2 linked regions of the Schizosaccharomyces pombe genome follow. The protein of the gene in region 1 interacts with the protein of each later gene in a biochemical or structural test. Each region holds a gene or a part of one and is shown in the gene's direction. Other genes may lie near its edges. The genes, in order: mzt1 and alp6.

The links.
Region 2: the proteins of mzt1 (region 1) and alp6 are reported together in a solved structure, tested with the Schizosaccharomyces pombe proteins (one study listed by BioGRID).

The regions. Positions count from the first base shown.
Region 1 is NC_003424.3:1,984,608-1,987,272, reverse strand, and holds mzt1 (putative mitotic spindle organizing protein Mzt1), read left to right. Parts: upstream 1-1,664; 5' UTR 1,665-1,728; coding exon 1,729-1,923; downstream 1,924-2,665. Other genes in the region: PAK-like GC kinase Sid1, read right to left, coding at 45-1,343, 1,400-1,516; SPOM_SPAC9G1.08C (phospholipase), read left to right, coding at 1,980-2,665.
Region 2 is NC_003423.3:480,121-485,828, reverse strand, and holds alp6 (gamma tubulin complex GCP3 subunit Alp6), read left to right. Parts: upstream 1-2,000; 5' UTR 2,001-2,122; coding exon 2,123-2,250; exon of another isoform or gene 2,251-2,289; coding exon 2,290-2,351; exon of another isoform or gene 2,352-2,391; coding exon 2,392-4,223; exon of another isoform or gene 4,224-4,276; coding exon 4,277-4,753; 3' UTR 4,754-4,881; downstream 4,882-5,708. Other genes in the region: Ctf18 RFC-like complex subunit Ctf18, read left to right, coding at 1-1,256, 1,337-1,467, 1,517-1,880; U3 snoRNP protein Utp15, read left to right, coding at 4,933-5,250, 5,460-5,708.

The DNA.
Region 1 (2,665 bases):
AATTGTGAATGCTGTAAACAGGTTGTTTACGAGTTTTTAGTAAGCTATCCATTTAGACTTCTTCTTTTCTCAGTTTCTTCAAGCCACCGTGAAAATAGTAGTTGTGATATGGGGCTCCGCTTTTGCTTTTTGTGATGCAGTCTGTTGTCTGGAGTAATTTGGTTAACAAATTTTGAGGACAGATTTTTATCTAAAGAAATGAAAGATGTATAAAAAGATTCTAAAGATGAGCGCTGCGTTGCTGACAATTTATCATTTAATAACATCGATCGTATGGTGGACTTAATATAATGTTTCATAGCAAAATCGGAAGTCAACGATTTATGATAAGAGCTACCTTTTTCAGACAATGACTTGGAAAAAGGATGCGGTGTCGCTTGATCACTCATTATAGTTTTCTCTAAATATTTTATTGATGAAGGCAATTCCTCTTTATTTTGTGAACTGATGATGGAATTTTTAGGAATGCTAGTATTCCCTAACACAGTTGAGTCAGATTTCTTTACAGTTTCAAATGTCCAATCCTCAATGTCAGCATTTCCTTCAGCAATTGGTTCTTCAAAGGGCTTTAAAGTATTATTTATGGTTTCTTCCAATACACTTTGATCCGAATCATCAAATAATTTATTCTCCTTCTGAACAAGCAAAGGAATAATGTCTTTCACAGTTCCTGCGCTTTTGATGAATGGGTGTTGAAGGAGTTCTTTAGCTGACCATCGCATATTAGGATTGAGATCTAAGCAGCAGGACACAAAATCACGGAATGTTGGACTGAAATGATCATCTAGCTTTGGAGGCTCGGATTGAGGAATTTCAAAGATGACACGCATTGGATGCATTGTAGCGCGGGGCGGAATTCCGTTAGCCATTTCAATAGCCGTAATTCCAAGAGACCAAATGTCAGCAGCTAAACCATAACTTGTTTGTTGTATTACTTCCGGTGCCATCCAAAATGGCGTTCCAACAAACGTGTGTCTACGCGAAGCAGCGTTCGAAAGTTGAGCGGCAACTCCAAAGTCAGCAAGCTTTACGTTTCCGGTAGAGGAAGATAGTAGTATATTGGCGGCTTTGATATCTCTGTGGATTTTGTTTTGTCCATGAAGATAATTTAGCCCATAAAGGACCTCTCGAAGAATGATTGAAATTACTTGTTCATTCAACCTTCCCATTTTCAAAAGTCCCGAAACTGATCCTCCATCCATATGCTCCATCAAAATCCATAATGTGTATCCGTCAACAAAACAACCGTAATACTGAATTACATTGGAACTGTTGCAATTCGATAACATAAATACCTCTTGTTCGATGTCGGTAATGTCGTCAATACCTGTTTCTAAATCAATCTGCAACTGTAAGTTTTTTGTGATACTAAAGAAGAGTAAAAATTAATTAGTCTTACCTGTTTAATAGCGATAATGTCGCCAGACACATTTTCACGTGCTTTCCAGACAACCCCAAATGAACCTGATCCTAATTTCCGTAGCAGAGTATAAGAATTAGCATTGAGAGGATACATTTCATCAATATTTTGACTGCTCAAATCTGAGGTTGAGCCTACTTTCGGTTTCGTTTTACAAGCACAAGCTAGATGCACCACGAAGTACTTTGTTTATTACTTAGAGGATTATAATGAGCTACTCCGAGACGCCTATTCCAGTAAACTTAACATTACCAACTTGTTACGAAGTATATATAATTAGACTAGTTTATTATAAAGTATCGAGTTTTATGTCTGAATCTACCAAAGAGACAATAGAAGTTTTATACGAAATAGGAACATTGCTTGGAACTGAACTTGATAAAACAACGCTTTCACTCTGCATCAGTCTTTGTGAAAACAACGTACACCCAGAAGCAATAGCTCAAATAATTCGGGAAATACGTATGGCTCAGGAACAAACTGTTGACACAGAACCAAGTTAATGGCAAGAAGTTTAATCTCAATAGTTGACCTCGGGGTTTAGTATTTCTTTTATCTAATGTCTTCTTTAAACAGTGTTCTACCTTCAAATGCATGCGCAGAGATTATTGAAGGGAAAGACAAGGTTCACAATGTAGTTATTTTAATGCATGGACTTGGAGATTCTCACAAGAGTTTTGCAAATATGGCAAAGAACGTTCCGTTGCCCAACACTAGTTATATTTCCTTACGTGGACCATATCGATTACCATTAGATTTTGAAAATCCTGGAGGCAATTGGATGTGGGGAGAGGATGTCCATTTTGATCAAAACGGGGAACTGCAATCTGAAGCCGATTTCTCTAAAAGTTTTACGATGATTTCAAATTTAATTGGCAATCTACTCTCTTACGGTATATTATCTTCTAGAATATTTTTTTTCGGGTTTGGTCAAGGAGCTATGGTTGCTTTATATAGTTGTTATAAATTGTCTACTAAATACCAGCTTGGAGGGATATTTTCCTTTGGAGGTACTCTACCGCTATCCATAACTTTGCCCAATCATCCATTTCATGTTCCAGTGTATTTGTTTGAAAAGCGATTGCATTGTTCATGCAGCGAATATGAAGAATCGCGATTACGTAAAACATTTAAACCATTTCACCTCACATGTTGGAATCGTGATGATAAAACTGACATGCCTTCATCCCCTAGAGAATGGTATACATTCGTTCAATCTATTAGTAAACATTTGTATATTCACAA
Region 2 (5,708 bases), on another chromosome or scaffold:
GGATAAAAGCTTGGGATCCTTGTGTGTTTGGAAAATCTCGATTACAGCCCTCAAAGAGTATGCGTTTTAACCCCAGATTTACTAATATCACTTCTGATAGTGATAGACCTGATAAACGGATTATGATGCTGACTGGACTGGCAGGTGCAGGTAAAACGACTTTGGCTCATGTTATTGCTCATCAGGCTGGATACAAAGTTTTGGAAATAAATGCTAGTGATGATCGTACTGCTCATACGGTTCATGAAAAGGTATCCTCTGCCATTAGCAATCATTCAGCCTTGTCATCTCAACCTACATGTGTTATAGTTGATGAAATTGACGGAGGTGATCCTGCATTCGTACGAGCACTTTTGAGTTTATTAGAGAGTGACGAAAAAGCGACTGAGTATTCTCAAGCTGGTAATTCAAAGAAAAAGAAAAAGTTTAAGAAACTTTGTCGTCCCATTATTTGCATTTGTAATGACTTATATACTCCAGCACTTCGACCTCTGCGACCATATGCTCAAATAATATATTTTCGACCACCTCCTCAAGCATCTCTTGTCGGTCGTTTAAGGACTATTTGCCGAAATGAAAATATAGCTGTTGACAGCCGCTCTTTGACTTTGCTGACAGATATCTATAATTCTGACATTCGAAGCTGTATCAACAGTTTACAACTTTTGTCTTTAAATAACAAACGTATAGATTCTGAGACCATAAAGCTTTTGCAACCAAAAAGTAATTCTTTTAGTACTTCTAGTTTAATCCAATCTCTTTTTTTACAACTTGATAATAAACAAATACGTGCAATTGAAGCATCGCAACCTACTTACTCACATTTGGACGCCCTCCTTGCAAGGATTGATGGAGCTAATGATTCTGAATCAGTCTTGATGAATTGTTTTCATACATACTTAGATCTTCCTTTTACTGATAGCTTACTTTCTAAACCTGCTTTGACAAGCGAGTGGCTTTACTTTTTCGACCAACTTCATTCACAATGTTATAAGGGAAATTATGAGTTATGGAGGTACATACCTTATTCCATTATTCATTTTCATTATTTGTATGCAACTCCTGAAAAGTGCCGCCTTCCGCATCCTCCCAGAAGTGATTTGGAAGCTTTAAAACTTTATCGTACTCGCAAAGAAATATTGGATTCATTCATATCGACGCTAAATGCTTATGAAAATCAAATGCATGGAGAAAGATCAATTCTTTTGGAACTTATCCGTACAATTTTAATTACCATAAATCCTACACTAAAACAGGTAAGGTCTATATATTTTAAAAAAAAAAAAAAAAAAAATTGCGTGAAACAATATTTTTTTAATTTACTAACTTTTTATAGAAAGAAGATTCTATGCCAAGGAGCGCTTTACCTTCTAAAATTGAGCATGCGATTAACATTTTAAATCATTATAATTTGCGTTTCCAACAGCTTCCCGTTGGAGATGGCAACTATGTGTATAGGCTTGAGCCGTAAGTTCCAATATTTTTATTTCTTTCTAGTAATAGCTAACGTTGACAGACCTTTGGATGAATTGGTTTGGGACGCACCTACAAGTTCATATTCTGTTCGTCAAATGCTATCTCAGGAACTGCTCAAGAAAAGGCTCGCAGACATTAAAAAACAAACCCTAACGGACAACCCCACTTCTTCGAATTCTTCAAGAAAGCGCAAAGATTTTAATTCCGGAAAAGCAATTAAGAGAGATTTTTTTGGCCGTATCATTTCTGAACCAAAATCTGAAGCAGTTACATCGAATAATGCAGCTTTGAATACAGGAGATCATCCAGTTTCCATCAAGCATGCAATCAATATCAAATTTCACGATGGGTTTTCCAATGCTGTGAGAAAACCAATATCGTTGAACGAGATTCTGAATTTCTAATCTAATGTGCATTAATATTTTTAATTTCAATCTTTTTGAAATAAAATCAATCATTTAATTTAAAAAAAAATCACTAGTAAAAATAGGTGTATGCGTAAATTCATCTAACCATTATTTCCTGACCGCGACTTCGGCGTGTACTTTGTCAATGGCTTTAAGATTTTGAGTTAACGATCAATACTTGTATTTCTCTATTTTAATTCAAAAATAAAAAAAATACTTTCGTCATTTGAAGTTCTCAAATGTCGGAGATTCATGTGAAAACTGCATTATCACGTCTGGCGGACAAGTATTTACAGAACTCCAAAAACCCTTCTGTCCCTTACACAATTGAAACGATCGTGTCTTTCTTTCAGGAAATAATTCACTCGTAAGCTAATTTCGTGTAAATGATCATGCTAACTGTTAGCATTTCTCCTGATACTTTTCAACTGGACATTGATGACATTCTGTACAAAATATATTCAAAAAGTATGTGAAGGTCTAAATACCAAAATTAACAGTTTTTTAGTTCCCCCCGAAGAAAACAATGATGCTTTATTTTCTAAATTATCTAACTTAGTTTCGCGTTTGAAAAGTCAAACGGTCATTCACAACAAATCTCAAATACTCTATTTCTTATACTTGCTCTCTCCTATTTCTCAGTCATCAAGAGATGTCTCCTCTCATTTATTAGATGAGTCTATTTCCAATCCTATCAATATTCCATCAACAGAAGTGGAATCCTCAAACTTTGGTCAGACACGTTACGATCAAGTTCCTGAAAACCCCCAAATTACTGATTGGGATGAAGGATTGGAAAATGAAAGTTCTATCTCAATTGCTCATGATTCATCTAGGCTAAACCGTAGTACTGAAACTTCTTCTGTTCAACATACTTTGATTACAGAAGCCGATTTGTTGTCTTCAATATCTTACGTACTTCAAGGAATTTCTACCGAATATGTTCAGTTTAAAAATGAATTAGCGCTGTTGTCTAAGAGAATACCTGTCCAATACCTTTTACAGATGCGAGCTCTTTCAGAGACAGGCTTATTATATCAGGAACTAAAGGTTTTCAGCAATTATGATCCTTCGGTCAGTCAATCCATTGATGGTGATAACGTTAGTAAAGCATTTATAAACGATCAGTCTTTAGCTTTACAAAGTTTAAAATCGGTCATTTCTAAAGAGCTGACTAATTTCCTTGCGTTAATTGCATCTCTGGATTCACAAATTCGAGCAGACGCTTCACTTGAGAAGCCTATGGTAACTATCCGGCGTTGCATTGCCTGGACGCAAGTTGCCAAGCTAAAACTTAGAATTTTGTCTTCAGTTGTTAATGATAATATGAACCAGGAGAATAAAAAAAGATTGATTCAAGTGGTTTCGAAATACAATGTGCATGGAGATCCGCTAATACAAGAATTGAGTGATAAAATACTAACAGAAATTACTGGACCTTTATACGAAATGATTGAAAACTGGATTTATAAAGGAGAATTGGTCGACCCTTATCAAGAATTTTTTGTTAAAGAAAAAAATGGTAGTGAAAGCCATGATCATCAAGGGCAAGGTGATGTCGTCTGGAAAGGTAAATATTTTTTAGACAAAGAGTTAATACCAAGTTTCCTTTCTGAAGAACTTGTCGACAAAATCTTTTTGATTGGAAAGAGTTTAAACTTCGCACGTTATGGATGTGGTGATTTTGACTGGGCACAAGAGCATTACCAGAAGCTAGTGAAAAAACTTAGTTATAGAGACCCTCATTCATTAGAAACAGTGGTTGATAAGGCGTATACTGAGTCCATTAATCACTTAGTATACTTGATGGAAGAGGTGTTTCATTTGACTGATCATTTAAAGGCTATCAAAAAATACCTTTTACTAGGACAAGGTGATTTTGTGGACTTATTAATGGAGAGCCTTGGTAATTCTTTGGATCAGCCGGCTAATACTTTGTTCAGACACAATTTGACTGCTTCTTTAGAAAGCGCCATTCGTTCAAGTAATGCATCTTATGAACCTGAATACGTATTAAAAAGATTGGATGCTAGGCTTCTGGAGCTTTCACATGGTGAAACTGGTTGGGATGTTTTTACGTTGGAGTATAAAGTTGATTCACCTATCAACGTAATAATAACACCATATTGCTCTAGACAATACTTAAAAATATTTAACTTTTTATGGAGGTTGAAACGAATTGAGTTTGCCCTTGCCCATTCCTGGAGGCGAGTAAATTTGGGCGAGCGAAATGTCTTCAGAAATCTGGATTACACAAAATTCGAATGGCATTTTGTCAGTTGTCATCTTGCGGAAATGATTCATTTTGTTTGTCAACTTCAATATTATATACTCTTTGAGGTAACGAAAAACCAAAACCCAATTTTGCATTGTATACTAACCATTGGAAACAGGTTATCGAAATTAGTTGGCAAGAATTACAGCTTGCTATGGAGAAACCAAACGCTACATTGGATACGTATATAGAGGCACATGAAAAATATGTTACTAGTATAACTCATAAGGGCTTGTTGGGTGGTGGTAAGTCAAGGAATGAAGATTCCTTCCTTCATCAGCTTCATGATATACTTAAAGTTATCTTAAACTTTCATGATGCAATTGAGTTGTTGTATAACTTTTCTTGCTCCCTGTCGAATAGAATTCGCATTAATGTACCAATTTCGACTGATGCTTTGGCAGCTCAATACACCCCTATAAAAAATGAACTCTCAAATTTTACTGAGGAATTCCAGGTTCGACTTCAAAAATTATTACATGGATTAGCTTCCCATAAGGACCCAGAAATGCGCTTTCTTTCCGTTCGTCTCAATTATAACGAATTCTACGTTTCTCATAGACGGCGTCATGATAAGGATGTTACCAGTCAATAAATGAGGTTCATGCATGATTATTTAAACTTTTATTACTCGTAGTAAACTATAAATTTAGTTATTAATATTTAATGTGATTTAACTATCGTTCAGCGGTGCTGTTTAATTTGCCTTTGCCAACCACCAACACCACCCACCCATTTGGTTAACTTTTTTCAGCAACCACATATACGGATATCATGTCCGCGCCTGCTGGTAGACTTCAACCTCAGCGTTTTGCTGCTTTACCTAATCCCGTTACTGCTGAAAATAAATTTTGGCGGTCATTCAAGGTTCCTGTCGTTGCCAAGGAATATAGTGCTATCACTAGTATTCATTTTTCCGCTGAATCCCCTTATGACTTTGCAGTAACTAGTGGGGCTCGTGTACAAATTTATGGAGCTAGTTCAAGGTCTGTTAAAAAAACAATTGCTCGATTTAAGGATACCGCATATTCTGGTAACATTAGAAAGGATGGAAAACTTTTGCTTGCAGGAGATGCTACAGGACTTGTACAGGTAAGTCTACATTACCAAAAGCTTTGAAAGATAGTTGCAATTAAAACGTTGATAAGCTGCACATGGAATTTTGTTAGTTTAGTTTAGCTGATTGAAGCTGTCATTTGCTAGTATATAGCTAAAAAAATACCATTTTTCCGGTGTTTGTCAACGCTTTAAACTTACTTTAGAGGTTTTCTTGTTGCCATTGATTGCTAATGTACTTTCAGATATTTGATTTGTCAACTCGGAGTATTTTGCGTGCTTTAGACGCTCATCAGTTTCCAGTTCATGTTACACAATTTTGTCCTTATGCCAATACCACGTTTCTCTCTGGATCCGATGACAAAACTGTAAAGGTCTGGGACTTGTCAACTGGTGCCGTTCAGTATGATCTTTCTGGACATGAAGATTATGTTCGTACTGCTTCATGGATGAGTGCTACTAGACTTGTGAGTGGTGGATATGATGGTACAATT